Linked DNA regions of Lepisosteus oculatus. The protein of the gene in region 3 purifies or fractionates together with the protein of the main gene of each other region. This does not show direct contact. Links are inferred from orthologs where the notes say so. Each region holds a gene or a part of one and is shown on either strand. Other genes may lie near its edges.

The links.
Region 1: the proteins of usp22 (region 3) and taf6l purify together in Homo sapiens (affinity purification with mass spectrometry; 3 studies listed by BioGRID and IntAct, with this or other methods). This does not show direct contact. The link is inferred for Lepisosteus oculatus from reciprocal best matches to the Homo sapiens genes USP22 and TAF6L.
Region 2: the proteins of usp22 (region 3) and tada2b purify together in Homo sapiens (affinity purification with mass spectrometry; 4 studies listed by BioGRID and IntAct, with this or other methods). This does not show direct contact. The link is inferred for Lepisosteus oculatus from reciprocal best matches to the Homo sapiens genes USP22 and TADA2B.
Region 4: the proteins of usp22 (region 3) and atxn7l1 purify together in Homo sapiens (affinity purification with mass spectrometry; 3 studies listed by BioGRID and IntAct, with this or other methods). This does not show direct contact. The link is inferred for Lepisosteus oculatus from reciprocal best matches to the Homo sapiens genes USP22 and ATXN7L1.

Annotation. Positions count from the first base shown.
Region 1 is NC_090713.1:21,503,954-21,511,692, reverse strand, and holds the start of taf6l (TAF6-like RNA polymerase II p300/CBP-associated factor-associated factor 65 kDa subunit 6L), read right to left. Parts: upstream 3,410-7,739; 5' UTR 2,822-3,409; coding exon 2,811-2,821; intron 2,471-2,810; coding exon 2,239-2,470; intron 1,249-2,238; coding exon 1,162-1,248; intron 647-1,161; coding exon 496-646; intron 1-495. UniProt on the Homo sapiens protein: Functions as a component of the PCAF complex. The PCAF complex is capable of efficiently acetylating histones in a nucleosomal context. The PCAF complex could be considered as the human version of the yeast SAGA complex.
Region 2 is NC_090696.1:42,383,191-42,390,510, reverse strand, and holds the start of tada2b (transcriptional adapter 2-beta), read left to right. Parts: upstream 1-4,053; 5' UTR 4,054-4,108; coding exon 4,109-4,378; intron 4,379-5,345; coding exon 5,346-6,485; 3' UTR 6,486-7,320. Other genes in the region: cfap184 (cilia- and flagella-associated protein 184), read right to left, coding at 2,184-3,746. UniProt on the Homo sapiens protein: Coactivates PAX5-dependent transcription together with either SMARCA4 or GCN5L2.
Region 3 is NC_090714.1:4,545,991-4,553,377, reverse strand, and holds the start of usp22 (ubiquitin carboxyl-terminal hydrolase 22), read right to left. Parts: upstream 3,405-7,387; 5' UTR 2,613-3,404; coding exon 2,493-2,612; intron 1,602-2,492; exon of another isoform or gene 1,584-1,601; intron 794-1,583; coding exon 761-793; intron 1-760. UniProt on the Homo sapiens protein: Deubiquitinase that plays a role in several cellular processes including transcriptional regulation, cell cycle progression or innate immunity.
Region 4 is NC_090702.1:39,511,995-39,519,847, forward strand, and holds the start of atxn7l1 (ataxin-7-like protein 1), read right to left. Parts: upstream 3,234-7,853; 5' UTR 3,041-3,233; coding exon 2,944-3,040; intron 2,549-2,943; coding exon 2,480-2,548; intron 1,787-2,479; exon of another isoform or gene 1,762-1,786; coding exon of another isoform or gene 1,755-1,761; intron 1-1,754.

The DNA.
Region 1 (7,739 bases), on a different chromosome or scaffold from region 3:
TCACTACCATGTCCACTCCCTCACGCACCCCCTCTCGCCCTGAGTCACTATCATGTCCACTCCCTCACGCGCCGGGTCACTATCATGTCCACTCCCTCACGCGCCCCCTCTCGCCCCGGGTCACTACCATGTCCACTCCCTCACGCACCCCCTCTCGCCCTGAGTCACTATCATGTCCACTCCCTCATGCGCCCCCTCTCGCCCTGGGTCACTACCATGTCCACTCCCTCATCCACTGGGTCACTATCATGTCCACTCCCTCACGCATGAGAGATGTCAGCAGCTGAGGATTTCCAGCTGGAATGTCATCAAAACAGGGCGCAGTGGCCAGCAATGCTGCCTTGCAGCTCTGGGGCCCCAGGGTGCTGTCTGTGTGGAGTCTGTGTGTTCTCCCCCTTGTTCAAGTGGGTTTCCTCCCACAGTCCAGAGACAGGCTGGGGGGGTGAATTGGCCCTGGCGTGTGTGTGTGTGCGTGTCCTGTGATGGACTGCCTACCTCGCACCATGGTCTCCGCGCAGCCCTTCGGGATGTTGGTGGCCAGCGCCAGCTCCACCAGGTTGATCTCCCGGTCCTCCACGAAGTACAGCTCCCCCTCCTTGAGGGGCCGGAAGGGCAGCGCGTCCTGGGCGCCGTACCCACACACCGCCTGCAGGGGGGGTGGGGAGGGGGGGGGTTGTCAACCAAGCAGGCCCGCCTGCCTGCAAATGGGCAGCACGGCACACACACACTGCCTGCTGCTGCTGCTGCTCTCAGAGCGCCGCCCTGCTGGCAGAAACTATGCGGTGCAGCTCCGCCTGCAGGAAGCTGGAACGCCCTGCCTGGGCGTCTGAAATCGGCACAAAAGTCACACCCCTACTCTTCTCGAGAAACACCCTGGGGTTTTTAATGACCACAGAGAGTCAGGACCTCGGTTGTATGTCTCATCCGAAGGACGGCGCCTGTTTACAGTCTAGTGTCCCCCGTCACTATACTGGGGTATCAGGACCCACACAGACCGCAGGGTGAGCGCCCCCTGCTGGCCCCACTAACACCTCTTCCAGCAGCAGCCTCAGCTCTCCCAGGAGTCTCCCCTCCAGGTACTGGCCAGGCTCACACCTGCTGGGCCCTGGGTTAAAATCTTCCCCCAGGCTGGTCAAGACAAGGGCGGGGGGGGCGTCTCACCTCCACGTTGCTCCAGCGCAGCGCTCGGTTGAAGTCCTCCACGGTCAGCTTCCTGCGCTTGGCGTGCCGCATGAACTGCGAGCCGCTCTGCGGGGAGACAAGCACAGCGCCTCAGGAGCCTGAGGGCAGCCGGGCGTCCTCTGCCTGCCCCAGGGACGGGACGTGCAGCGGCGCCCCCTAGTGGTGGAGGAGGCGAACGGCTGCACTTTTAGCGACGGGCAACGGGTCTTCTCCTCTTGTTCGGTGGGAAGGAACGATCCCGTAGGGGCGTGATGTCTTCACCTGCCTGCAAAGCTAACTTGCCCCTATGGGACACTAGGGTGAGCGAAGCACTCTCTTCCTGCCCCAGTGATGCGAGATGGAGCAGTGCCCCCTGGTGGCAGCGGAGGGAACCGCAGCCCGGTCTGCTCCAGCGGCTCAGGCACGCAGCGGGCCCCAGGGATAATAATTATAATTAATAATAATAATAATAATAATAATAATAATTGCTTACACTTATATAGCGCTTTTCTGGACACTCCACTCAAAGCGCTTTACAGGTAATGGGGATCCCCTCCACCACCACCAGTGTGTACCCCCACCTGGATGAGGCGCCAGTCCGCTCCCCACACCAGCTCTCAGTGGGGAGGAGAGCAGAGTGATGGAGCCAGTTCAGAGAGGGGGGTTATTAGGAGGCCATGATGGGTAAAGGTCAGGGGGCAAATTTGGCCAGGACACTGGGGTAACACCCCTACTCTTCTCGAGAAACACCCTGGGATTTTTTATGACCACAGAGAGTCAGGACCTCAGTTTTACGTCTCATCTGAAGGACGGCGCCTGTTTACAGTCTAGTGTCCCCCGTCACTATACTGGGGCATCAGGACCCACACAGTCCGCAGGGTGAGCGCCCCCTGCTGGCCCCACTCACACCTCTTCCAGCAGCAGCCTCAGCTTTCCCAGGAGTCTCCCCTCCAGGTACTGGCCAGGCTCACACTGCTGGGCTCCAGTGGGGCTGCCAGTGGTGAGCTGCAGGGGGATATGGCTGCTGGCTATGGGACTCCTTCACTGAATCCCCAGAATCCCCCTCTCGGACTATACCTGTGTCGCTTCCCTGAGGCGGTAACACACGTCCTCGGCCAGCAGGGCGGCGATGTCGTCGCTGAGCTCCACGCCGGCGCTCTCAGCCATGAGACGAACGGACTCACGCGGCACCTCCGCGAACCGCCTCTCTTCGCGGTCCCCCATCGCCAACGCCCCCCCCCTCCCCTCCCTCTCCCTCTCTTCAGGACCCTCCGGAACAGCACAGGGGGGAAAAGAACTCCTCACAGACCTAGGAGGGCAAAAAAAAACAAAAACAGACCAGAGAGATTGCAAACAGGAGTAAACCTTTCAACTCCTCTTGCTTATAGGGCAGCTCAGAGCTCACTAAGCCTCGATCTCGATTAGCTGAACAACAGGTCAACCAACACGGACTGCGTGCGGGCTTGCTCCACACCTCCACCGCTCTTGGTGTAAAGCAGCATCTCCTGTTTACTGCCCGCGCGGGGCTCCTAGTTTCGCGCCGAGCGCTGACGTGGTCCCGAGGGCCGGCTTGGTCCAGAAAACGCATTTAGGAAGACAGAAGAAGAAGAAGAAGAAGAAGAAGAAGAGGAAAACCCGTTCATGCACACCTCTGTCTCATATCAGAACAATCATATCGCCTTTTTTTTTCTCGCGCGCTGATGTCAAGACTAGGACAGTTCCTCTCGGGGCTTTTCGTTATGTTTTGTCGATGAAAGAAGAGGTCAGACAGTCAGCTCTAGCTTGCTGTTCCTAACTTTGTTTTCAGCTCTCCTGCCTCTGTGCAGCAGTTTCCCAGCGCGCACAAAGTGCAGCGACTTCAGAATCTCCCGCTGGCACCCAGCGCTCACTTTCAGAGAACGCCTTTGAAATAATTCAGCCGTTTTTCGGTCCGGAACCACGGCTATCAACCTGAAGTCCCCATTTTGTCACCTTCAATTTCCAATTTGCCCATATCGACGAAACTCGCCACCAACAGATAACCTGCCGTACTGTGCAGCATTCGTGCAGAAAGCTGGATCGCAAAATCGCAAATTAACTTCATTCTCTCTCGCCTTCTTCCATTTTTAAGCCATTACCGTCAAAGCTCATAACACCTTGCATTTGAAACCCCATGAGGCTGCCCTGTACCTTCAAACAACCGGACTGCCTGTGATCCCCGAACACGGACCCGCTCAGCTCTTCCCCTGCACTACTACATCCAGCTTCCGGGCCCGCGCAGCCCCGCCCTTCCCGCGCAGCGATTGGCCGCAGGGGCTGTCACACAAGCGGCGGCGTGTGACGCAATGAGGGCGCCGCGTGGAATGACGCTGTTCCGTTCGAGAGACGCTGAAAGAGCTTTGCACGGGATTGTTTGTTTTCCCTCTGTTTGAATGTAGATGCATGCACTGAATTAGTGTTTTTTTCAGACCCAAAGCACTGTGCACAAAGGTGGGCACACAGCTACATTCACCACTGAAGAGAAGTCCCCACCTGGGAGACGCACAGTGCTCATTCTGCACCAGCAGCCCCACCTGGGAGACGCACAGTGATCATTCTGCACCAGCGGCCCCACCTGGGAGACTCACAGCGGCCGTTCTGCACAGCAGATCAGGGGGAGGAGAGAGGAACTCCTGCACCAGATGAATTAAGGGAAACTTTTAACAAGGCCGTGTTGTTCAACCAGTATACTGGGGGACACACTTACAGCAACTGACAATTGTTTAAATATATCAAAATGCCCCGAGGTTTAGATACCGCCCTCTTGCTCTGTACACAATGCATGCTTTTGTATTTTAAACACATTTGTAGTGCATCACAGCCATCCTGAACACAAAGAAAGTTTAAGTCACTGCAACAGTACAACCTTGTTTCGTCTGTGCAGCCTCGCTTGGCTGGGTGCTATTGTGACACCAAGGAAACCAGCACCGACTGCAATTAATCGAACAACAAAGCCATCTCCTACCTGGCTTCATCCACATCTGTGTCTTCTCCCACATGTCTTGTTCACAGTTTATTGTGCTTTGAAAATTGGTGTGGTGTGGGGTCACAGATTGCATTGGGAAACTTGAAGAGCACCAGGCTGTGCCTGTAACCCTGATGTTCAGCTCAGGGTTACAGGCTTCAACAGCTCAACCCAGAGTTAATAATAATAATAATAATTGCTTACACTTACATAGCGCTTTTCTGGACACTCCACTTAAAGCACTTTACAGGTAATGGGGATCCCCTCCACCACCACCTGTGTGCAGCTCCCCAGCACCCCAGCTCTCAGTGAGGAGGAGAGCAGAGTGATGGAGCCAGTTCAGAGAGGGGGGTTATTAGGAGGCCATGAGGGGTAAAGGCCAGGGGGGAAATTTGGCCAGGACACTGGGGTAACACCCCTACTCTTAACAAGAACACCCTGGGATTGTTAATGACCACAGAGAGTCAGGACCTCGGTTTTACGTCTCATCCGAAGGACGGTGTCTTTTTTCATTAAAGTGTCCCCGTCACTATACTGGGGCATCAGGACCCACACAGACCACAGGGTGAGCGCCCCCTGCTGGCCCCACTCACACCTCTTCCAGCAGCAGCCTCAGCTCTCCCAGGAGTCTCCCCTCCAGGTACTGGCCAGGCTCACACTGCTGGGCTCCAGTGGGGCTGCCAGTGGGGAGCTGCAGGGTGATCTGGCTGCTGGCTGAGATGTACTCAGAGCCCTCTTGCGGTGTTGAAGGATGTGAGGACACAGAGAAGCTGAAATTATTTTATGGAAACGGATGCATTTCTAGATTCATGCAGACGACACAGGAAAGCAGTTTGAAATAGAATGTTTTTTATATTGTTTTTTTTTTATTCTTCGTAAGATAAAACATTTTTTCCTCCATTTTTCTTGCCAGGATCTGTGACAATAACAAGTCGAAATGCCGCACATTTTCAGAAAAAGAAAAAAAACAAACAAACCCTTTGTACCGATTTATCGCCTTTTTTGGAAAAAAACAACCCCCAAAAGACTCTTGATCCGAATCTCAGGCCCGCCGCACTTGGAGAAAGGGAGAGTGCCGCTTATTTCTGTCGCTGAAAAGAGGAGAAAGGAGACAGAACGTTTCAGCCATGGATCCTCCTTCGGGTGTTGAGGTTAAGTGTTTGAGCTCACTCCCGGAGAAGGCTTCCCTATCCGAAACGTTGTGCTTCTTTTCTTCTCTTCCCAGCAGGGAATAACCCTTTCCTTGTTCCTGTGCAGCCTGCATCTGCTGATGCAGCGCCCTGCTTGAGCTTCTTCTGCAGGTGCTCTGCACCGAGGAGCTGGGTGGGGGGAGGGTTCGTTTCTCAAGGTTTCTGCAGCTTAGAGGTGGTGTTTTATCAGAGGGGCGGGCTCACTTTTATTCACAAATAAAACCCCCGCGGTTTCCAAACACTTGGTGCTGCTCCTGTAACCACTACCTGTGGATGAGTGTGTGACGGATGGGTGGAATTTGATAGAGGGAGAGAGGCAGGAATGGATGGAATCTGATGGAGAGCGGGATAGAGGCAGGAATAGATAGATGGAATCTGATGGAGAGAGGGATAGAGGCAGGAATAGATAGATGGAATCTGATGGAGAGAGGGATAGAGGCAGGAATGGATGGAATTTGATGGAGAGAGGGATAGAGGCAGGAATGGATGGAATTTGATGGAGAGAGGGATAGAGGCAGGAATAGATAGATGGAATTTGATGGAGAGAGGGATAGAGGCAGGAATGGATGGATGGAATCTGATGGAGAGAGGGATAGAGGCAGGGATGGATGGATGGAATCTGATGGAGAGAGGGATAGAGGCAGGAATGGATGGAATTGAATGGAGAGAGGGATAGAGGCAGGAATGGATGGATGGAATCTGATGGAGAGAGGGATAGAGGCAGGAATAGATAGATGGAATTTGATGGAGAGAGGGATAGAGGCAGGAATGGATGGAATTTGATGGAGAGAGGGATAGAGGCAGGAATGGATGGATGGAATCTGATGGAGAGAGGGATAGAGGCAGGAATGGATGGATGGAATCTGATGGAGAGGGATAGAGGCAGGAATGGATGGATGGAATCTGATGGAGAGAGGGATAGAGGCAGGAATGGATGGATGGAATCTGATGGAGAGAGGGATAGAGGCAGGAATAGATAGATGGAATTTGATGGAGAGAGGGATAGAGGCAGGAATGGATGGATGGAATCTGATGGAGAGAGGGATAGAGGCAGGAATAGATAGATGGAATTTGATGGAGAGAGGGATAGAGGCAGGAATGGATGGATGGAATCTGATGGAGAGAGGGATAGAGGCAGGAATGGATGGATGGAATCTGATGGAGAGAGGGATAGAGGCAGGAATGGATGGATGGAATCTGATGGAGAGAGGGATAGAGGCAGGAATGGATGGATGGAATCTGATGGAGAGAGGGATAGAGGCAGGAATAGATAGATGGAATTTGATGGAGAGAGGGATAGAGGCAGGGATGGATGGATGTAATCTGATGGAGAGAGGGATAGAGGCAGGAATGGATGGATGTAATCTGATGGATAGGGGAATGGACCCTTCCAGTCCTGCCTGCTCACTCCACTGTCTAGCTTTGCGTCCAGCTGAGCTCTCAGCTACTCAACCGATCTCCTAATTGACCCGATCATTTAAATAATTAGAAATCACCCAATCCTCTTTAGCTCTATTTAAAACTACGATAATGAAGACTCTGAACCATTTGGCCACTGTAAAGGATGACAAATGTTAAGCCAGAAAGGAATGAAAGAATAAAGGATTTCGGGAAGTAGTGGAGAGCTGAGCTGGAAGAAAAACTGGCCATGGGGTCTCCAACCCGGGTCTTACTGATGGGGATTCAAGTTTGCAGCCAAGAGTATTCATGTTAACAAGCAGGGGATCCAGTGGAAACCAGTGGAAACTGTGTGGAAGAGCATTTAAAATCAACAACAGGAGACATCTGTTTTCACCAAGGGTGGTGGGGGTGTGGAACAGGCTACCCAGCCGTGCTGCTGAAGACCCTGGGTTCTTTGGGCGCCCGAGTCTGAGTCTTTTTCTTTTGGGCACGCGTCGGGGGGGGGGGCCAACAGTGTCTTTGAAATCTACTGTCTCTCTCTCCCATGTGCGCGCCTGTGCGTCTTTTTTGAAAAAAATGATAATAAGTCATATTGGACAAAGAAACAAACTCTGCCCGTTCGAAAAAGGAGAAGCTCAGCGGATCACTGGGCTGACTTCACTGCAGGCGTATCGTCCTTGGTTTTCCTTTCATGAAACAGCCCCCTTGCTAGGTTTCTGAGACACCTGTGCTTTATTCCCTATGCGTGTGTGCGTGTGTGTGTGTGTTTACAGCACACAGCTGGCCCACACAAGACAACTCAACGCCTCTTTAAAATCTAGAGTCCCCCCCCACCCCCCATGCACTGAGCTACATTTGGGTAGAGGAGACCTCGTGACAAAGCCAGTCATTGACTCTGGATCAGGGTTTAGGGGTAAGACTTCGGCCTGGGGTCAGAGGTCAGGGGTCAGGGGTGAGGGGGGATGGGTTGAGGCTGTGGAAGGAGAGGACGCAGCTTTTCCAGG
Region 2 (7,320 bases), on a different chromosome or scaffold from region 3:
GATAATAATCACATTATTTTGTACATGCATAAATGTTAATGAGATTAGTTGAAAAATGTTTAAACACGTTTACAGCATTGTTATGACAACCTTATATTTTGAATGTAAGTCTACTTTTGTTTCTCATGCTATACCAAAAATACTATCTTTGCAGAGTGCAGAAAGAACACGTAATACAGCTGTTTGCTCACCAGGGTAGCCTATTTGAAAATAAACTGCTGACTGAGAAGTTTGACTTTTTTCTTCCAGCTCCTCTATAATGTTTCTCCTTTGTAGCCCATATCACTGGTGTTGGCCTCGATCCCCTGGGGAAAGGCACAGCCTTTTCTCCTTTGGCTTGCTTAGCACTAAAGGTAAAATCCCCTGTGACTTAGTGAGATGATTAAATCAAACTAGGACCAGCAGTGAGTGTGTTGCTGCAGTCAACTACAGATGAGTCTAGCAACCAAGCCCTGTGCCAGAACTTATCCACATAATGTAGTGTATTTAAAGGACTAGTCTTTATCACCTTGATTTTCTGTTTCATTTGATTTGACTTTCCTGCTATGTGGTTTGTAGAATTCATTGGTATAATTTCAGTTTAGAATTTGATTTATTTACTGATCTAAAAAGAAAACTTTTACATACGAGAATTCTCTGAAAAGACTTCTGAAAACTAGTTGCCAGAAAGTGTAAAGAAAAGAGTGAAAAGGGGGGTAATTATGAAAATCCCATGAGCAAAAACTGCATATTCCCAATTGTACTTTTTATTTCAGGTCTGTCAGGTTCTTATTGTTTTTCAATCATATTTACAATAGTTAGATATAATTGCAAATAACATGAGGATGAAGTATTAAACAAAATCACACAAAACTTACAAAAGGGAATGCAATACAAAAAGCTGAAACAATAGAGTTAGATAAATGGTAGAAACTACTCCTTTTACATTCTGTTTTATGTTATTGTCTTTCTTTGCCTTGATAGGTAAATTTGAAAGAAAATTATAATGTAAGTGCTCTGTTACCCTTTATTAATAATTTCTCTTTAATGCTTGTTAAAAAAATAAAGCATTTTACCACTAACAAGTCAGAATCAACACTTATTCTGTTAGAAAAAGCTGAACAAGATTCCATTAAAAAATAATGTATAGAAATGGCAGACAGTTTGGTTATAAGAATAGTTTCCTAGATCCTAAAAAGCAATAGAACAGTAGGAGGATTTGAATGAAGAAACACACACAGGACACTTAAGGTCAGCAAAAAGATTCAAGTTAACATAAATCAAATAGTGCTTCCAATGGAATGAGATTAAATACAGGAAAGCAAAAGTTGCAGTAAGGTCAAAATACTCTATACTGAAATATGCACATCCTGAGAATGACATTATTTTTTCGGTGTCCACCCCAATGGACAAGGAGACGTCATGCTCCTGTATGCTGAATAATAATATGTCACCCATAAAGTTATTTTCAATTAAAAACAACTGTATCTTTGCTCAAATTAGATTAAGAGAGCTATTGCATTATTTGGCCAATTGAACTGTGTCCCCACATCTAAGAAATGATTTAATGTGATACAACAAACAATTGCACTTTGGAAGTGGAGGACAGGAGCTGGATACCCCAGGCCAATGATTTTTAAAATTCCACTCAACCCAAAGCATGAGATAATACAGTGGAAGAGAGCTGGATAAAATATTTAGTCAATAAGACTTTTAGATGATTGCCATTTAAGCAATAGGTTGACAACTGATTATACACAATATGAATCTACACACAAGTGACCCGGACAACAATAAATATAAAATGAATATGAGTAAAATTTATTTAAAAATATTTGAGGTTCACCCTGAAATAATTTAATTTAAAAAGAGTTCTGCTTTATCTCAACTGTGTTTATCTCAACTGGAAGGCAATCTGTTCACATTTTGTATGATAGTAATTGATATAAATCATCAATTTAATTTTTTCATGATGAGGAGACTAATGTGAATGTCAGGTACACAACTACTAAACTGTAGATTTGACTTATCTTAGAGAAATCATATCTCCCTTTCATACATAAATAGCCAACTATATAAGAAATATCTGAAAATACCAGCTGACACCATTTATTTTAGTTATTTTTTGGGTTGATTTATTTTATGTTATTGACCATGAAAGGAAATGGGTCCAGAGTCTTGTTATTTTTGGCATCTGCTGCTTTTCATTGGCGTGAAAGCTTAGCTTGCTCTAGTTTTCTCTTGAGTCCTACACATCTCAGTGTCAGCTCAGCATGCCGGCGCCTCAGCATCTCAAGCCTCTGACTCAGAGCTTCGGAGGCATCTACCTTTTCTTCAAAGTCCCGGAGCAAGGTCTCATTTCCCAGAAGGCCACACTTCTGCCGGAGCTTCAGGTTGTCCGTGCGGAGAGCATCACGGGCCTGTTTGGTCTTGGTGAGGATGTCCCTCTTCCGAGCTACCAGGGCTTCCACCTCTGTAAGTTGAGCCTTCTTTGCCTGGTTCTCCACCTGGACAAACTGCAGTTTCTCCTTGACGTGGGTGAGGACCTGGACTGTGCTGGTAATCTTCTTCCGGAGTTTCAGGAGCTCCTCGTTGCGCTCCTCAATCTTCTCGTTGTACGTCTGGTTCTCAATCTTCAACTGCTCAAAGTCGATGAGGTGCAGCCCTTCAGCCAGCTCCTCCTTAGCCTTCAGCATAGCCTCAAATTTCCTGACCTTATTCTTCAGCTTGATGTTCTCTAGCCTCACCTGGACCAGCTCGTTCTCTTTCCGCTGCTCATTGGCCTGGATCTGCTCCACTTGTGCGACAGCGGCTTGCTTTCCTAGGCGCCGGCTCATGGCTGACACTGCCACCTCCTTCTTGAAGCCCATGAAGACCTTCCACTCACTGTCCACCTGGCTCACTTTTTCCTGGGACTGGGCTCTCAGCTCCTTGATCTGCTGCTGGTAGCTCTCTGAGTCCCGCCTGTGCTGCCATTTCAGGTCCTCCATTGTAGACATGTACTTGAGGTAGCGCTGCTCCTGATCTGAGACTGGCTTCTCTTTCTCATGACGGATTTCCTCCCCTGTCTTCCTGCGGAAGTACTCCACTAACTTGTTCTGTAGCTGACCGCTCTGCTGGATAATATTCGCCTTTTCCTTCTTAAGTTCTTTGTACCTTTCCATGTATTCTTCATAGTTTATGCTTAGGGCTTCTTCCTCCTCTTCCTCCTCCTCCTCTTCTTCTGTTGGGCTTGTCTCTCTTTCTGGCGCCTCCAGCTCCAGCTCTAGGGGAGCATTTTCCTGCTGGGCCACTGGGCTGCCCTCTCGAGACAGCAGCTCTCCTATGATCTGCTGCCCTTCTTCCTCCTCTTGCTCTGCTAAAACTTCACTAGAAGGCACAACTTGCTTCTCCTCCTCTTTTACAGGTGTTGATGCATCTTCAGCAGCACTATCTCCTTTTAACTCTTCTAAGGTTTCAGCTTCAGCTTCGGCAGGTCCTCCTAGAGACTCACCTGAAACCTCATCTGCTGGCCCCTGTCTGGTGCCGGGAAGGTCACTGTTAACTTCAGGCAACTCTTCCTTTTGTTCCGTCCCAGCCTCGGTACCATCCTTTTCAGCTAGCAGTTCAGCAGTGCAGTCATTGTTATTTCCAGCTTCATTAGATTCTCCCTCGAATGTCTCTTCTTGCTTTTCGGTTTGGGACAAACCGTTAGTGTTCTCCGCTTCAGGAAGGTACTCTGTCGTTTCCTCAACAGTTTCGAGTTTGGGGGGCTGTGACGCCTCCATCGCAGTACGAAATAATATAAGAATAATAAGTCACTATTTGTTCCTATCCCGCTGTAAAATAAATGTAAATCTATTGTTAGCTGTAAAGTTAGCTCAAACTAAACACTGGGTCCAAAAAGAAAAAAAAGAACCCAAAACTGAATCACCTAGAAATTACACCTACTGTACCTTTCCTGTCCAACTATTTTATAAACCTAATGCGGTGTCTTTCGGTTGCCCCAGAAACGGGGGCGTGACCCAACCAGCATGCGCGTGATATTTATATTAATGAGACGCAGGGAGCAGAGCGGTAGCTGCTCAGTGCGCATGCGCCTGCCTTGGAGGCTGTGCAGCTTCAACAACAAGCAGCAGCAGCCTGCAACATGGCCGACCTGGGCAAGAAGTACTGCGTTAATTGTCTAGCAGATGTAACGAACCTGCGGCTTCGTTGCACCGAGTGCCAAGACATCGAACTCTGTCCAGAATGCTTCTCTGCAGGCGCCGAAATAGGCAATCATCGGCGATGGCATGGGTATCAGCAAGTAGACGGGGGACGCTTTACTCTTTGGGGTCCCGAAGCAGAAGGAGGCTGGACCAGCAGGGAAGAGCAGTCGCTACTGGATGCGATCGAGCAATATGGCTTTGGAAACTGGGTAAGTTTTCTTTTATTTTCCCACGGGATGGAGAAGAAGAGAGAGGATTACGTTTTGATGGTGACAGTTGAAATTGCAGTACTCCAGTATTGTTCTGTTTCAGCAAATGTCACGTTTGTGAGTGAGTGAAAAGTTAATTTGAAATCGGTTTCAATCAGGAGGACTGGCCAAACTATAGGTAAGATCAAAAATTACTTTGTCGGTTTTCTGAGAATGTAGAAAACGCGTCAAATTAAAGATTTATATAAAATAAAAACCTGTGATTATTAAGAGCGTTTAAACATTTTAGGATTTTGAACGCTTCGAGTGGAAAAAACTATCGCATCGCAAATACGTGAGATTTTAAATGCTATAGTAAAAATGACTGTGTAAAGAATGTGTGTTTTGCACCATCAAGAAAGTAAAAAAAACATAAATTCTTCCCGTACTACACTATACATTATTAAGAGTTTTTCTTAGAATATCCATAAACAGACACCTGCGTGCTTGTGCGATTTAGCAATTTGTTTGCTGCCATATATATGCAATTAGATATAACCACAGGCAATTATTCCAGTTTACAGGAACGACGTATTTTTGCCTACAGAAAGCTTGTGAATAGATTTTCTCCATGGATGTCTAGGACTTTGTTGTGAACATTGCCCTAGTCCAGTGAACATTGTTCACTGGTGATAGAGAGTGAGTTTTCAGTGCTGTTGGTATCCACAATGTCTGTATATCATTTTAAACCTTACTGTTCTATTTTGCATAAAACAGCATGTTCTGTTTGTGCTAAGCTTAATTTTTAGTTCTGTAATTTATCTGCATGATTGTTACTTACTGAGGGAAAGTTTTTGTATGTTTTGAGTTATGCCAGATAAGGCCATTGGCTAAGCAAATACTAAGACGTGTGTAGTTTCTCTGTAACAATGGCTGCCTGTGTAAAGATTTGTATCATTGCCCCACTAACGCAATTGTATTGTTCCAGGAGGACATGGCAGCCCATGTTGGAGCTTCAAGGACGCCACAGGAAGTCATGGAGCACTACGTGACCATGTACATCCACGGTAACCTTGGCAAGGCCTGTATCCCGGACAGCATCCCAAACCGAGTGACGGACCACACATGTCCAAGTGGGGGGCCGCTGTCTCCCAGCCTCACCACCCCACTGCCGCCCCTTGACATCACCGTCGCCGAGCAGCAGCAGCTGGGCTACATGCCCCTGCGCGACGACTACGAGATCGAGTACGACCAGGACGCCGAGACGCTGATCAGCGGGCTGTCGGTCAACTATGATGACGATGACGTGGAGATCGAGATGAAGCGGGCCCACGTGGACATGTACGTGCGCAAGCTGAGGGAGCGGCAGCGGCGCAAGACCATCGCCCGCGACTACAACCTGGTGCCGGCCTTCCTGGGCAAGGACAAGAAGGAGAAGGACAAGGAGAAGCCGGCTGCCGGGGGGGCGGCGACAGCGGCGGCGGTGGTGGCAGCGGCGGCTCCGCCAGCAGCGGCCGGCTCCTCGGCCGCGACGCCAGCCCCCAAGCGCAAGATCACCAAGGAGGAGAAGGAGCAGCGGCTCAAGCTGAGGCCCCTCTGCCAGTTCATGGCCTGCCGGGAGTTCGAGGAGTTCTTTGAGAATATGCACAAGGAGCGGGTCCTGAGGGCCAAGGTGCGGGAGCTGCAGCGCTACCGGCGCAACGGCATCACCAGGCTGGACGAGTCGGTGGAGTACGAGGCGGCGCGGCACAAGCGGGAGAAGCGCAAGGAGAACAAGAGCGTGGCCCAGTCCAAACGGGGAGGGGGCGGAGGAGGTGGGAGCGGGGGCGGCGGCGGCGGTGGTGGTGGCGGGGGCAAAGAGGAGGGCAAGGACAGCGAGTTCGCCGCAATCGAGAACTTGTCCGGCTTCGAGCTGCTCTCCGACCGGGAGAAGGTCCTCTGCAACTCTCTGAACCTCAGCCCCACACGCTACCTGACGGCCAAGACCATCATAATCAAGGACCACCTACAGAAGCGCCAGGGGATCCCCTCCAAGAGCCGTCTCCCTAGCTACCTGGACAAAGTCCTCAAAAAGAGGATTCTGAACTTCCTCACCGAGAGTGGATGGATATCGCGGGACGCCTCTTAGTCTGTCTTACTTCGTTGCCCGTTTCACTTCATTGCCAATTTGTGTGTGGTTTACTTTTCACAAGGTGTTCTGTGTGCTGTGTCTGACCTCTGTAAGTTCCGAATGGGCCAAACTACTGGACGTTATTTTTTGTTTCTTTCTACGGGAGCGTGATAATGCTGGGACTGGCGAAAGAAAGAAGTCAAAAGCTGTTTGCGGTTTATTTAAGCCTTTTTAAAGCTGAGCATGCGAGAAAACAAAATGGCAATAACAGAGTAACTGAAGAACAACGTTTGCTTCTCTCCTGTGATCTTTGCCCCAGGGCTCAACTACAATCCCTGAACTTACCAATGTGGGTGCTGTTTTACTGCAGCTCTTCGTCACTCGTGTATGGAAAAGATCTCCGTAATAACTTTGAAGTCACAACGAGGCACCGCCTTTTGTGTAAGGGAGGGAGACCCATGCTATTGTTAACATTTATCTCCTACAATCCAAAAGTCATGCTGGATTCATTTGGCTTTGTCTTGAGAGATAAATGCACGGAGAGAAAAAGTGTCATTTCTGTTTTAGGAAAGAAACTGCTTTGTACAGTTTCAGGCAGCTGGGATATTCATTTGGCCTGTTGAGTCCTTTGGGGGGGGGGGGGGGGGAGTTATTTTGTAATACTGTATATGCATCTCCCTTTTCTATTCTCGTTCTCTGAGTTTGTTCGTTTTTGTTTTAGTTGCCAAAATGTTTGTAAGAGTGAAGCTGTCCGAGCGGGCTTTGTCAAGGAAGAAAGAGCCAAGTGTATCGTTGTTAGGGTCTGGTACAAGAAGGTCTTTTAGAAAAAGGACAGAAAATGCTCCAAAGGGCA
Region 3 (7,387 bases):
GTCTCCCTTTCGGAACAATATAATTAGCCACCCATCCAGTTTCTAAACTATTCATCCAACACAGCAACACAAGGGAGCCGGAGCCGATCCCGGCCAGCATCGAGCACAGGGTAGAATACAACCTGAACAGGACGCCAGTCCATCGCAGGGCACGCTTAAGACACAAACACAGACACACACTCACACCAGGGCCAATTTTCCCAGTAGCCAATTAACCTAGCAGTATGTGTTTGGACTGTGGAAGGAAACCACAGCACTCGGAAGAAACCCGAGCAAATCGGGGAAGAACATACAAACACCGTGTGGATGGCACCCCAGGTCCAGGATTGAACCCAGGGCCCCAGTGCTGCAAGGCAGAAATGGTAGTAAAGACTGCACCCTCTGTGTTGCCCCCATGTGATTATTAGAGCCCTTAATTACTTTTTGTTGTTGCACTGCTTCCAGCATTGGGGCTTTCTTGCTGCTTCTGAGCCCAGAACACCAAATGGAATTAGGAACGTGCTGCACTCCAGTGAGTTGACATTACAGGATACAGACTTTACCGAGAACATTCAAATTTGCACTTTATAATGTACAACCACCACACTGTTAAAGTACTTTGTTAAATGCTCCTGCTGGTTATTTTTCTTTTGACCTAATACCACACCCAATGCTTTAGTTGCATCGGATTTGTGTACAGAACGTTAGAAACTTCAATATAAGATACCAAAGAAAATATCAGGCCTCTATTTATGTAAATACATGTAGGATTTGCACTCACCAGGGGTGTCCATCCAGCATCTTTCTGAAGCACCTATTTTGTCACAATGAAATAAAAATGTACAATACATGTAAGAAGTCTTTTCATTGCCTTGAAGTCACTATTAAACTGGATACAAGAAACCCTTAAAGGCCCTACTGTCAGGTTTAACGTTCTACATCAAAAATATCCAGTTAAATGCAACACAATTCACAATACTTAAGACCCTAACACACAATATTGAATTGAACAGCACAAAGCAAAACTCCGCGAGGAGAGTGATCTATGATATCTGGAGGTGGATCAGGCTACGTTTGGGGAAATTAGAACTTGACAGTTTTGATAAGCAGAGTGTGCATTCACTGTATTTTTTCCCCATAAGGTGGAGAGGGGGCTGGGATATTGTTACCAATACTCCACTGTGCCTTCTTAATAACTCAATTCCCCCACACCCTGCATGCTGTGTGGGCCAGGCACTTAGCACACGTTTGGAGTGGAGGACAGGGGCTCCGGCTGGGGCTGTGGGAGGTGAGGGAGAGGTTATGCAATAATGGGTGAACTCGAAACAAAATGCATTAAAAAGCAGACTGCAGCTCAGAGCAGGTAACCGGAGACCTGGGGGTGCACGGTCAGCAAAAAAAGGGGGTTACAGGGGCCTGTCCCCTACCGAAGGAAGGGTCCTGTGGAGGAAAGGGGCGAGTTGTGGAAGGGGTACAACGGTTCTTCCCCCTCCTGTTTACAACAATAGGTGCTTTAGCGGAGGTGCGGACTAAAGTGGAGGTGCCGGGTTTGAGATTTTTTTTCCCCGCCTGTACAGAAACCAAAAAGAAGGCGACAAACACACCGGTCTTTCGTGGCGACGCAGGTCGGTAAACAATGCGCCGCTGGGACTGGAACTAGTGCAGTTCGGTGTCCTTGTCGCCGCCCGGGTCCCGAACAATTTCCCCCACTTCCCAGCACGGTCCGAACCGTGGAGTGGGCCTCCTCCCCCCCCACCACCCCACGCACCCTCCTCTCTGCTCCGGGACAAGCGCGAGCACCCCCCCCACGCGTGGAATCCGCCGAAATTTTAACGCAGGTGGCGTGAAATGTTCTACTTTCTCCCCCCCTCCTCCTCCTCTATGCGTGACCGCCTCTCCCCCTCCTCCTCCTCCTCTCTCTATCTGGTCCGAACAAAAACGGCTGAGGTGGTGGAGAGGCGCCTCGCCGCACCAATTGTACACACGCAGTCCAGGTCGGGCTGCAGTACCGGAGGCAGGAGACCAGCACCGCACAATGCAGAAAATGGGCATATTTTTGAATGTCGTTCGCGTTTCCTGGTGCTTAGTGGTGCTGTGTGTTTTCCCACAAGGCACTGCTGGCTCGCCGAACATTTTCAGTGACCGTCTTTACTGCGTATGCACACAGCAAGACGACACTTCACCAAGAAAACCCCTTGGCCGGGGGGGAAGAGGGATGAGGTCGGGGAGAAAGCATTAGTTAGCGTTTTTGGTGCTGATGTTTTGTTTACCGTTAGGTACCTCTCGCCTCCCATCCAACACCCCCCAATTTCAATCAGCGGAGCTCCACACATAACGCTAATCATGGTCCTGCTGTGTTGTACATTTCTGTCTTTTCGTACACCGATACCCCAAGCGAATGATGTCTCTGGGATCTGTGCTTAAATGAAGGCAACTGTGGAACAGCTTATGCATAACTAAATGTGCATTTTGCTTTTTTTTTGTCCTTTTTTTCTGGTTCATTTTTTTTTTACCTTTCGTTTCCTGGTTTCTGCAGTCCCGCTCCACACAAAGCACTGGTATATGAGTCGTAGATTCTGTTTCCAATTCTCCACCTTAAAACTGTTCACATGGGAGCACCCGGCCGGACTCATGACAGAAACAACATTCAATTTATTGTTTTTTGTTTTAGATAGGTAGAGCGTTTCGGAAAGAAATATCCAGAAAGGTTTTCCGATTTAAAGGGGCAGCCAGCCGAAATCCGTGGTAACTGGGACTTCCGAATTAATCCGTTTTTTTTAAATTAATCTCTCTGTCTCTTTAAATATTCTCCAGTCTGTCTGTCTCGTCCGCTCTCGCTCTTCCACTTCCACTCTCCCGATTCTTTTTAATGGTCGGCAATGGAATTCAACAGAACACCGCGAGCTTTGAAAGTCCCGCCTCACGCCCGACCTCATTGGCCACCGTCTGCAGGCCGGCGCCGCGGATTGGCTGGCGTGGGTGTCGTTTCCCGTTAGAGCCACGCCCTTGTGCGGTAAACGTTCCGGCCCGGGTTGGTGCTAGGAGACGTCATTCGCCATGAAGGCGGGGTTCCAGCGGATTCCCAAATCGACGATTGGTTAAAGACGGAGGGAGCAATTGCCGAGGCCGTCTGAGGATCCGTAGTGGTTTCGGTCACCACACATAAGAAAAAAAAAGAGAGGTGTTCTTCCTTTAATGAAGGGTAGAACCTGCTGCAGGGAGAGATGTTATACGTATAGGGGCAGCCGAAGAAGCGCGGTCCCTTTCTGGTTGCTGTTAAAATAAAAAAAAAAAACGCAGAGACACGAAAGCGGGAGGACGTTTGCAGAAATGTAACGTTACAGACATCCGACTCCCCCGCCCTGGCAGGCTAGGCTGTTGCTTCGCTGTGATTGGCGTAGCCGAGCTGGTTTCCCACACCGCTCAGGTTGTTGTGTGGGTGTTCCGGCCGTGTCGTTTTGCGTCACTTCCGCCGCTGGTTCTGCGTGCTCAGTTGCCTGAGAGATTTCCAGCGGAAGCAGCTCAGCCGGGGCTGCGCACGCCGGCGCTTCAAAACAATACCGCCGGGTTTGCCAAGCCGTCACGTTTTTCGGAAACGGCTGCCTTGTCCTCCCCCCCTCCCAGTCGTCTACCCTGGCTCCCCTGCTCCAGAGTTACACTACCGCTGTGGTGGCAAGCTTTAGGGTTAGCTGTTAACGACAAACAGCGACTCACGTAGAGGAGGAAAAAAAAACTCAAACGCCAGGGCTAGGTTTTTAAACAGACGCAAAGGCGTCACCTCGCTTGCGTTCCTGTAGATTTAAGTTTGGCCCCTCAGTTTTAAAAGAAATAACCCAGTTTGATTTGGAATACATATTGGCAGCTGTTTTCAGGAACAAAGTTTCGAATCAGGCGTGATTTTGTACAGGGGATACTCAAAAATTGCCTTAACTCTGCCATATCGGAACGGATTACGTCAGATGTTGAATGATTGGGCTATAATTTCCCAAATTTAGACAGTAATACATTTTATTGAATATATAACATACACTGAAGTAATATTAATAATACAGTACAACCAAGTCTTGGAACAGTTATTGAAGCTGGTAAGAAGAGGTTTTGGCATTACAGATGTAAACATCCTGATGTAGGCTTTGTCTGCCGAAATGTTGACCGCATTTAAATATACTTTTTGGAGAAGAGAGAATATAGCAACACGGATCATCTTAATGTTAATAATGCTACAAGGGGGTGGCATAATCAAGATGGACAGTTATAGCTGCAGTTTACTGCAGTAGCTTCCAAAGTCAAGTAAAAGAAAAAGCCATCTCAGTTAAAGGTTAAGGTGAAGTTGTTTCTAGAAAGCATCTTCCCAAGTGACATGGATGGATTAATGTATTGGAAGGATTCATCCTAGCTTTGGGTATTGAACCCATATTTTGGTTAGTTTAACATATGCAGAGTAGACTTTAGTGCTCTCTCTCTGCTACAGCCAATTGCTGAGCATGTGACAGACAAAACCCCCTGTGTTATCAGATCAGGTATATGGAAGTCTACTTCAGTGTGATCTTGTCCACATTGCCTTTCAACTGTACCAACCCAGTATGAACCCCTGCAAAAGTCACGTGGTATATTAATATACCTTCTTATGAAAACCCATTCTGCACAGCTTTTCTTGTGGACAGGTGGACTAAATTCACCTGTTAAAAACCTGAGCAACATGGAATGTATACAGAAGCTCCATTAGGGAAGGGATGCTTTCTCCCTTTATTTTACTTTAGTTACCATTTTTGCTTGGAAATTATGAGAATACTTCCCTTTAGTGCTTTAAATTCTCCATCAGTTACTTATATACGCTGTATACAAAAGATGGCTCCAATCTAAACTGCTTTTGGGGGCTGATTGTACCTTTCTATGTGTGTCAAGTCTGGAATAGGAAGTTGATATACTGTACATGTCCTAATATTTTACAATTGTAGGTCCCAGTGGGAGACTCACAGAAAGGATTCAAGCACACCACAGCACAATTTGCAAACATATCAATCATAAACATAATGAGTACGTGTTTATATACTGTATATTTTGTTTACATATATATAAACCCCATTTATATACCAGTGGTCTGTAGATCAATCTTGGGGCAACATCCATGTCTGGTTTTCCTTCAAACTGGGCCCTTGATGACCAGTGATAATTGATGCCTGTTACTGATGTTGTTTAAACATTTTGCTGGACCCAGCACTCATCAGCACATGGTTTCAAAAACACCCTAGTGAAAATGAACAGTTTCCAATAACTTCAGCATGGATAACTTTACTCCATCCCTCCACAATCTAGTTAAGAATTTGCTCCCTTCTTTGCGATGAAAACCCCTTTGTAGGTGACCGATTCAAGATAAGCACACGCAGGTGGGAAAGACACTTAAGTGTTTGCTTTTCCCTCCTGCTGAAGTCTAACTCGCCGCCTGAGTGAGAGGGGGGTGTTGAAAGGGGAATTGAGTGAAAAAATAAAAAACACCCAAAACAGAAAACTGAAATACATTTCAATTAAGGACTTGACTTAAGGACAGATAATGTAGTGGTCCTTCAGGACCAGGTTTGAGAACCATCGAGTTGGACCAATCTATCCGAATGAATCTTTTTAATCTCACTGTAATCAACCCTAAATCAGACACCATTGGGATATGGCACTATAATGAATGGTGAATATCCTGTATTCTTCAATTCTAAACAACCTTTTTAATCTATGCTTATTAAATCTGATTACAGCTAATAAAATATTGTGGTAACCTGCCAGTGAGATTACAGATTTGTTGTGCATTGTCTTGTAAATGATCCCTCTTTTAATGATGCAAAACGTTTCGTATAATATCCTAAATATTAGTGTTGGAAGATGAATTGTGAAGCATAGCAAGGTGGAGTAAGTGGGTCCTGACAGTGAAACCCCCTGGTTTCACAATGATGTTGCAGATGCGACATTGCCTGTCTGTCAAAGATGAGATCAAGTGTAAGACCAGGATCATCACTGAATACAATTAGAGCACATTCCAAATGTCTGGAATGTGCCCAGTCACCCCACATTTACCTGTGTTGTACACAGCGATATTGTTCATGAGTAAAAAATATTAAAAATATCTGTCTTACTCCATAAACCTTGGATCTGTTAGCCACTTATAATATCCAATAACCAAATGAGCTGCACTGGCTGAATGACCTCTACTTGTTTGTAAACATGCTCATATTCAATTCAAGTACTGTTTCTTTTTTCAACATAGGAGTTTGTTTCTGTGGTGTTTGTTTTAGCCACTTCCAGAAATCCCCCCCCCCCCCCAAAAAAAAAAACAAACAAAAAAAACAAAACAAAACAAAACCAGAAATCTTTTATTTCCACATTCCCCAACGGATAGCACCGAATGTCTTGCACTTGCTTTCAAGCAATTGGTTTGCAAATCCAACGGTTCACTTCGGATGGGACGAAAAAAGAACAACGAGCGCCCTCTTCCGGCTCTTTTCTTTGACAAAACGTGAACTCCACAGCGTTTGGACAGATATGAAGAATTTAGTCAATCCTGAACTTCCAATAAGCACCCTTACAGACAAGCACCACCTGAGAGCCATCATTTTTGCATTAATCGAGTGTAAACATATGTTTATATTTCAAGTGTGACGATCTAAAAATGTAGCAAATTTTGCTCTGTAGGGAAAAAAAACATTGCTTGAACAAGAACTGCATACATATTGCAAAAGTTTCAAACTGGGAACCCCCTACCAAAACATAACGCAAAAAATATAATGGTCACGAAAATACAAAAAAATACACGGAAAAAATAATAATGTGTAATTCTTATGTGGCGAAGGTGCATTGTAATTTAAGGTACAAGTCTGCCCTCCAATGCTAGACAGACGAATTACACAACGCTTTTCTGGTGCTCCAGCTCCCCGCTAACTTCCGTTTTTCAATCCATCTGAGCTCGTAATTGCTTAGGCTTATTAAACCCACAATTGGAATCGAATTTAATTTCAAAATTATATTTCTTAAGCACGTTTTCTTCCACTTCGTTATTGATTTCGGATATTCCCAGATGTTAGTGTGTTGATCCAAGATATGTAGCAAACTGAGCTCTGCCGTGTTCTCCGCCTTCGACACTTGGAAACTGACCTGCCTGTTTTGTGCAAACGTCTCAGGTATCTTCTAATGGTGGTTATCCGAGTGCCAGAAGCCTCCTGCATCAATTCAATTAAAAGCTGTGATCCAGTTCTGATTTAGAATTGTAATTGGTGTGTAGATCGATTTAAAGCAGGCCCCAAGTTTGCTCAATAAATAGCTGATCACCTATTTCTGTCTGATTAGCTCTTAACAGAACACCATTTAAAGATATACGGGTAGGGAATTGCTCTGTATTTAAAACAAATGCAATTAACCTAATTGA
Region 4 (7,853 bases), on a different chromosome or scaffold from region 3:
AAACAGCGAATTGGATAATAGCAAAGACTGACTAAAACACAGAACTGAATATCTCAAAACTGTGAGTGCAACTGAATATGCAAATTACACCAACCACAACGGAATTTACTTTAGGAAAAGTAGCGATTATGTCTTTGCATGCAATGAAGATCCCACCATTCACATGGTTCTAATTATGGTTAAGAATGGATGTATTTATGTGTAAATGAAATTGGGCTCTGGTACGGTTCCTCAAGATAACCTAGTTTTCCACCTAGACAGGCCTTGTATGAAATTCAAACACTACTGCCATATTATACTCAATATGCAAACAATCTGCTGCTAAAAGCATGAAGGAGTGGCTGTGTGCAGTATTGTGAATTTGTTTTTCTCTTGTTTTTTACATTAGACTATAAACTAAATATAACTCTTACAAAACAGTAGCTTGTCTTCATGAACAACACATAATACACCACACCAATCATCTTTTAGAGAAAATTCATAGAGATTCCAGGATTGTACAATGTAATTAAAAACCACAATTTTAATTGGGTAAGCAGTACGGTATCTCAGCCTTTTTAGGTAGAAAGAGAGGATTCTGAAATTGACTAGGGTACATTTGTACATAGCATAACTTTTTCAGAACCAATTGTTTGGCTAATATGTATTGTCTATACAGGCTCAAGTAAGGAGGCGCTTGGACTTCAACCGAAGCCCTGCAAAGCTGTGGCACTGCATTGCTGGTAGGAGTTGCCTCACTTATCAATAATGCAACATATTAATTGGAGACCTGCTCTATGACATGTTGGTTTCTCTAATGCAGCTCGCAAATGATTCACATCTGTTCACAAGATGTATACATGGAAAAAAGAACACCAGTAAACTCCAGCCAGCTCTCCCAAAGCAGTTGTGAGAAGTAGTGGTTAGGGTTCTGGACTCATCACTAGAAGGTTGCGGGTTCAAATCCCAGGGGTGGCATTGCTGTTGCACTCTCACATTAAGTACTGCTCTCAGATTATGCCAGTAAAACACCTATCTGTACAAATGTCAGTGGGTTGGAAAAATCTATCAGTAAAATAATATGTAAATATGAATTATTCCTAATTCAACAGCTATTCTCATTTGTGCTACCCATAATGTATGAAAAACATAATTTTACACTGAGACAAGTTAATGTTAATTATATGGTACCATATTCATACTATGAATATAAATATATCATGCTTTGAGTTTATAGACAGTGCTTATTTTGAAATTGTACACCTGCCATTGCCTATATAGAAAAAAGGTATTTTATAGTTTTCAACGGTTTGTTTTTAATTCTATAGAAATGACCAATCCAGCAGGCTGATATTGTCCTCACAGGAATAAAGAGCTAACATGTGGCCTGTCTCTTACACTATGAGGCTCTAGCTCCCCTGGGCTGTCACACCTGATTGACTCCAAAGACAAACAGGTTCTGCCCAGTTCATTAAGAGCCTCAAGGAAGTAACTCTGCTATGCATGCCGAAAGTCATCTGTCCTGAGAAGCCAGGACATGAAAGATCATGTCCCAGTTCACACAATCAAGTCCAATGCAAAGATGGAAAGAGTAAGGTGTCACAACTCTGCCATGTTCTCCCAATCACTAGACCTAAACTCCACTGACAGTATGTAAAAGCTATCCTTGACCAACCTCTTACATGCCTCGAATTAATCTCCTGAATACATTCTCCGTTAGAATGAACAAACCAGGACACAGACCTCATTTATGTAATCTCTGAAAGCAGTCCTACCTTGCATTAGCTACCACAGAGTTTTAACCCCATCGAAGTTCCAGTAGAGCTTTGTAAAGCTGTAAAATAAGCAGAACTTCTTTCAAACCTGTGTGCCTATTTGCTTATGACAAGCATCTCTGCAGGGACAGGACTTTGAACAACCTGTTTGCTACGCCACCAGTAAAACTACTAAAACTCTTTACAGGTTGCCACAGAAAACGGTGAAGCTTGAAGTGAAAACGCCACGAACTGCTGCTAACTGAGGCATCATAAACTAAACCTTATGATGCCCTAATAACATAGCAAGAGCTTTTCCCCCAACAGACGCCAGCTTATTGGCCGGGGGGAAAAATGACGCACGTTAAATCGCACCTTCCTGAACACTTCCACAGCCCACGGAGCGTCGTACATCTCCGAGAGGCATATCACTAATATCTGATCCTAATCATGACTTCTCTGTAGTGCCACGCTGAAAGCCATCTACCGGTGCGCCAGCATCACGCTGGATGTCTTGCAGACCGGCAAGCAGCCCTGCGTGTTCCGTCCACAGCTGTAGTGAAACTCGAGCGGCGCAGCGGCAAAGTTTATTCTATGGGGAAGTTTATCGGGCAAACTCGCACACAAAACCCAGGTTGTAAGGACTTGGAAAGTGTGCCTGGTTCTTGTAACGCGTTGTCAGTGCGTTACTTCAAGCCTCCTGTGTGTATGAGTCTGAAATTAACACCATTCGCCTCTCAACTTACCTTCTTTATTGAGTCTCATCACTTCCCTGCCTTTGCCAACCTCTTTGCCAGTCTCTTCTAAATCTACATCTGCGGACAAACGCAAAGAGAGAAACGTCAGGAGTGTTCTCCAAGTAAATCTGAAAAGTGAATTGCCTAATCTCAGTTATTTTGTGTACCTGGCCCACATAGGTGCGAACGTACGGCTACAGTACAGAGCAGACAGCAGTGCAGGACATCTGTCACAGAGATACTTAATACAGAGATAACGTATCAACGGGAAACACGGCGACACTTAAAACTCAACAGCAGCAAACTGTGAACCCCTTTGATTCTACATACTTATTTGATTTCTCAGGCTGTGTATTTATTATAAAAAGAGAAGCATGGAGGACACCAGTGGCCACTCTAACAATTTAACAGCGTTGGAGCACAATTTGAATGACTCTGCGTGGAAAACAAGCTTTATTATGCCGGGTCCTTACTGTCAGAGCAGTGTAATTTGGCTGCGTCGATAAAGGTGGACCAGGGTTTGCACAGGAACGCATCCGGACTGGGCAGTTTGCGATCCAATGTCGCCATTGCTCTTCCTTCTTGTTGCTTTTTTCCCTTTCCTTCGCCAGTCAGCGACACGGGACTTGCGAAGCACCTGACGTCACATTCGGCTCATTTCGGCTTCAGCCGTCAGTGACGGCTGGATGAAAAAGAAGTGCAAATGTGGGAGAGATAGTTCAGTAAAAAAAGAAAAAAGTTTAATCTTTTTTTTCCGGGCAAGAGAACAGCACAGTATAGATCTAGAGCTATATTGTTGTATTTGACCAACATTATTTCTACAATTTCTACAAAATGAGGAATATTTGCAGTTGTAAAAATACTGATTCTTGTCGCATATGTTAAAATACAAATGTCTGTGACGTCTATGTGATGTTATTGAATGTATATCCTATAATGGGATTATATTTTAAAATAACTGTTATTAGCCACATAACTTGTTTTTACAAAACGCGCAATTATATTTCTAGAATATGTTACTACATTACGTTTACAAAAGCAGGTTGCAACAGGTCTGAAAACCATCACGCTCAGTTATCTTAATTCCCAATTCAAGTATCAGTTGAAGTGCTGGGAACAAAAATTAAATGTAAATTAAAATTAATTAACTGTGGGTGGCATAAAATTGAAATCGTCTTGCTCTGTGAAATTGTTTTAAGACTGATTATCACATTTCAGATTTCCATGCAGATATTTGAGCGTTACATAAAGGAACCACTTTATCTATAATTGTCGCAATACAAACACGAATGAATGTTTACCAAGTAGACATTTTCGAACCAATTACGTCATTCCGAATGTAATCACTAGATGACGCTAAATTACCATATTATTTATAGTAAAGTTCATAATGTATTACTAATGTAATGTAAATTGACATTCCAAATTAATTGTGACTTTCTTAGTTAATTAGTTTTAGCCATTCAGCTGAATTAAGAGAGAACCACATAAAACATAGGTGTCCCACTACTAAAGCCTGGCACTCTCACTATTCCTGGCTCAGCGTTGGGAGATGGATGCCCGGAAGCCCACCTACCAGCGGGTCCAGGAGAGACCCGACGGCATAGGCTTTATCACAGCGTCTTGACCATCTGACTCCGGGGCTCAGAGGGCATGGCCTCGTCACCCTGGTTTTTACTCCCTGTTCCTGTTCCGGTTTTTAACTGTGTTTGTTTAGTCTTGGTTGGATCCCCCGGTTTTGGACTTTGGACTGCACCCCAGATTCCCCCTTTTGGACTACCTGAACTGTCTGTCAACACACCCTGGTCCTCTTCGTCTCCTCCCCTGATGTCCTTCTCCACTTACTTCCTGATTATACCGTCTGCATACGGTCCTGAACTACGCATCGCTGGAGCCTGGACCGGCTTCCGTTATAGTATTCCTGCAGGACTAGGACTGGGAGCCACTGAGCAAGATCAGGCATTGAACAGGCCATGTGCATCTATGAGTTTTCATTCCAGCTCATCTCTTATCAAGCTAAACTAGGTGGTTACTGACTTAAGCTTTACTCTTCAGGTGCTGCGGTTGTGAAAACCTGCAGACACATCAGCCTTGCAGGACCAGGAGGACCAGGACTGGACACCTCTGATCCAGATCAAGACGTCTATCAATAAATAGATGAATTCATTCAATAACATGGGCTAATATTTAAATAGACATCAAAAAGGTATTCTGTTTTCCAAAAGTTTAACAATTACCACACTGACTTTATTACACAGGAGAGGTTGTGTAATAAAATTAAATTACACTGGACAACATTGTTTTCCTGCATACATTTGGGTAAATCTGATGGATTTGGGGCTGCTGATCACATAGTAACCATGGAATTTCCATATCACACAGCATTTTTTTAAAACCGCCTATATTTGTTATTTCAAATAATATTTTGGCCTATTAAAATGTTGCCGTCAATATAAGCTGGAAAAGTTATTTCTTTCTTGTGTCCAGACATGCCTTTGTATGCCATTGCACCCAGTGCAGGTCATAAAACACTGGAGTAGTAATGCATCTGTGGTGATCTGAAATTAGTGGCACTGCTACTAGGAATGCAGCTTGGATACACCAAGTACTGTTGTTTCATTTCTGAGTGGCATAGTTGTGCTAAAGATTCTCATTACACTAAAAGGGACTGGCCACTCCACAAGCATTTGGTTCCAGGGCAGAAGAATGTAGCACATAAACCACTTGTTGATCCAACAAAGATATTTTGCCACCTCTTCACATCAAGCGTGGACTCAAGAAAAATGTTGTGAAAGCAATGAACAAGGAAGGTGAAGGATTTCAATATTTGAGACAGATCTTTCTAAGAATAAGTGATGCCAAGTTTAAGGAAGGTATTTTCGTTGCTCCACAAATCAAATAGGCCATCAATGACAGACAGTTTGAAGAAAGTCACATGGAAGGCATTCAAGAATGTTGTTGAAAACTTTCTTGGCAACTACAAAGCACCAAACTATGTCCAGTTGGTTGACAACATGCTTCAAATATACAAGTCCACGAAGTGCAAAATGTCACTAAAGATTCATTTTCTTCATTCGCATTTGGACTTCTTCCATGCAAATCTTGGTCAGTGACAAGCATGATGAAAGGTCTCCCCAGGACATCACGAAGATGGAAGAATGGTATCAGGGCAACTGGAATCCGTTAATGCTGGCTGATTATTGTTGGACATTGATCAGAGAAGCATCAGATACCGAGTACAAATGAAAATCATCCACAAAACATTTTTAGCTCAGTTGAACTAATGCAAGGGCTCAGCACCATTATGTGATTAAACGCATTATATTGTATAAAAGTTCATTTATTTTTTCTCAATAATCCCACATGATACAAACAGTCTGAAATTGTATTTTTGTTCAACATCAAGAGATCTATCATAAACAACAAACATTTCTGAGGAAACAACACTTTTGAAAAAAGTTGTAGTCCAGTGTTATTATTTGATTGTGTTGAAGAAAAAACTTTTATGGAATTTCTCAAACTACTGAAACTGCCAATGGGAATGATCAGTGAAACCACACAAATCAGAAAATGTCAATTATTATCAGAAGTGAAACTGTCTTTTCACTGATATTGGAAAAATATATCTATAGATATCACTCTTTAATTAACTGAGGTATCTTCAATTACAGTATTTATGTTTGTTGGTCCACATAACAATACAATGGTTGTGCAGAAGAGGAGAAGAATGCCATTTTAAAAAGAAACAAATAGTGTTTTCAAAAGAATGATCTAAAATGTATACGTTGTTCATAATGCATAAACAATATTGCAGTTGATTTGTATAAATTGGGAAGACCAGTGGTCCAAATACAGCAAATATACACAATTTGTGCATTTACAGTATGCAAATAATTATAAGCATATTAAGCAGATCTTTAACAGATAGGTGCTATAAAAAGCAGCCCTTTAAAAGACCAAGGTTGGCTGTGTTTGAGCCACAAACGGCTGTTCATACTTCCCTGCAATTTTTAGTGCATTTTATACTGCTCTTAATTGGTCTTCCAACAATCTCGCTAACTTGAATATATTTACCCTTCACCTGAAGAATACTTGTGCTTCAGCAGTTTTATGCTTTGTCTTTCTACCTTTTTTTCTCAGGCTACATTATTCAACAAGGAAGTGATGGTGAACTTCTGTTGCATACAGTTACCAAGGTAAGAGTAAACATAACTCTTTTTATGACAGCCTGTAAGCTCTTGTGAAAGATATTTCTATTTATTCGGTGACGATATTAAATAAAAGAAAGCACACTACCATGCCTGCTCATCAGTCTTTTATTTTCCAGAGAGTTCTCTGTGTACCATTTATCTCACTTAAATTCAACTGGCTGATATGATTCATATATCAAGCGTTATTTTACTTGTTTTTCTTCCACTGACCTCTTCCATTGTAGTTGACCTCTAAGATCTCAAGTACCAATAGAAAGAACCTTTTGCTATCCATTTCTATCCATCTATAAATAAATACATTATGCAGCCTTCTTGTTTACATCTAAATGAAGAGGGCACCAGTCATCTTGGCACAGGGATTGACAGACAAAATCAAACATATTTAAACTTGAATGGAAGGAGGAGGCAAAGTAGAGGGGAGATGCTGAGGGAAAATATGACACATCAGTTGGAAAATTAAGTGAATAAATCTAATTATGAGTTTTAAAAACAAGATGCATGACTTAGATCTTACTAAAGCAGCAGGCAATTATTATATTATTGGAATCACAAACACCTGGTTAACATTGTACAACAGGAAACAATATTAGTGCATGCAGTGTTCCAGAGAAACAGAAACAAAATTAAGCAAACATCACTGTCCTTCATCCTTGTTAATTTCCTACAGCTTTTGTTTATGGGGAGGAACCAAACACAATCACTGGCCACTCCATGCAAATTCAATTAATCACAGACCATTAGCCTTTCCACTTCTTCCTGCTGGCATTCTGTGAGCATGACCTCTATGCTTTAACCACATTTTCTATGAGGACCAATCCGACATCATCATTAGGCCTAGCAATAGGACCTCACCTACAATATGGTTTGATCCCTCACCTACAATATGGTTTGATGCAGAGCTACACCTGCATCAGACCTTCTCCTTTTACTGAGTTACATCATAACCACTACCTCACTAGCCCAAGTCTAATTTGAAGCATATTCTGAACACCACCTGAGTTTTGTTCAACAATTTAATGGAGACAGCCAATTAATGTTGACTACAGCAAGTAACCAAAATATAAATGATATACCATTATTTTCCAACTGTACCAATGTTGAATACAATATAATGTAATTATTATTATTATTATTATTTCCAATTTCTCTTCAAAGGCTAAGGAAGGTGCACT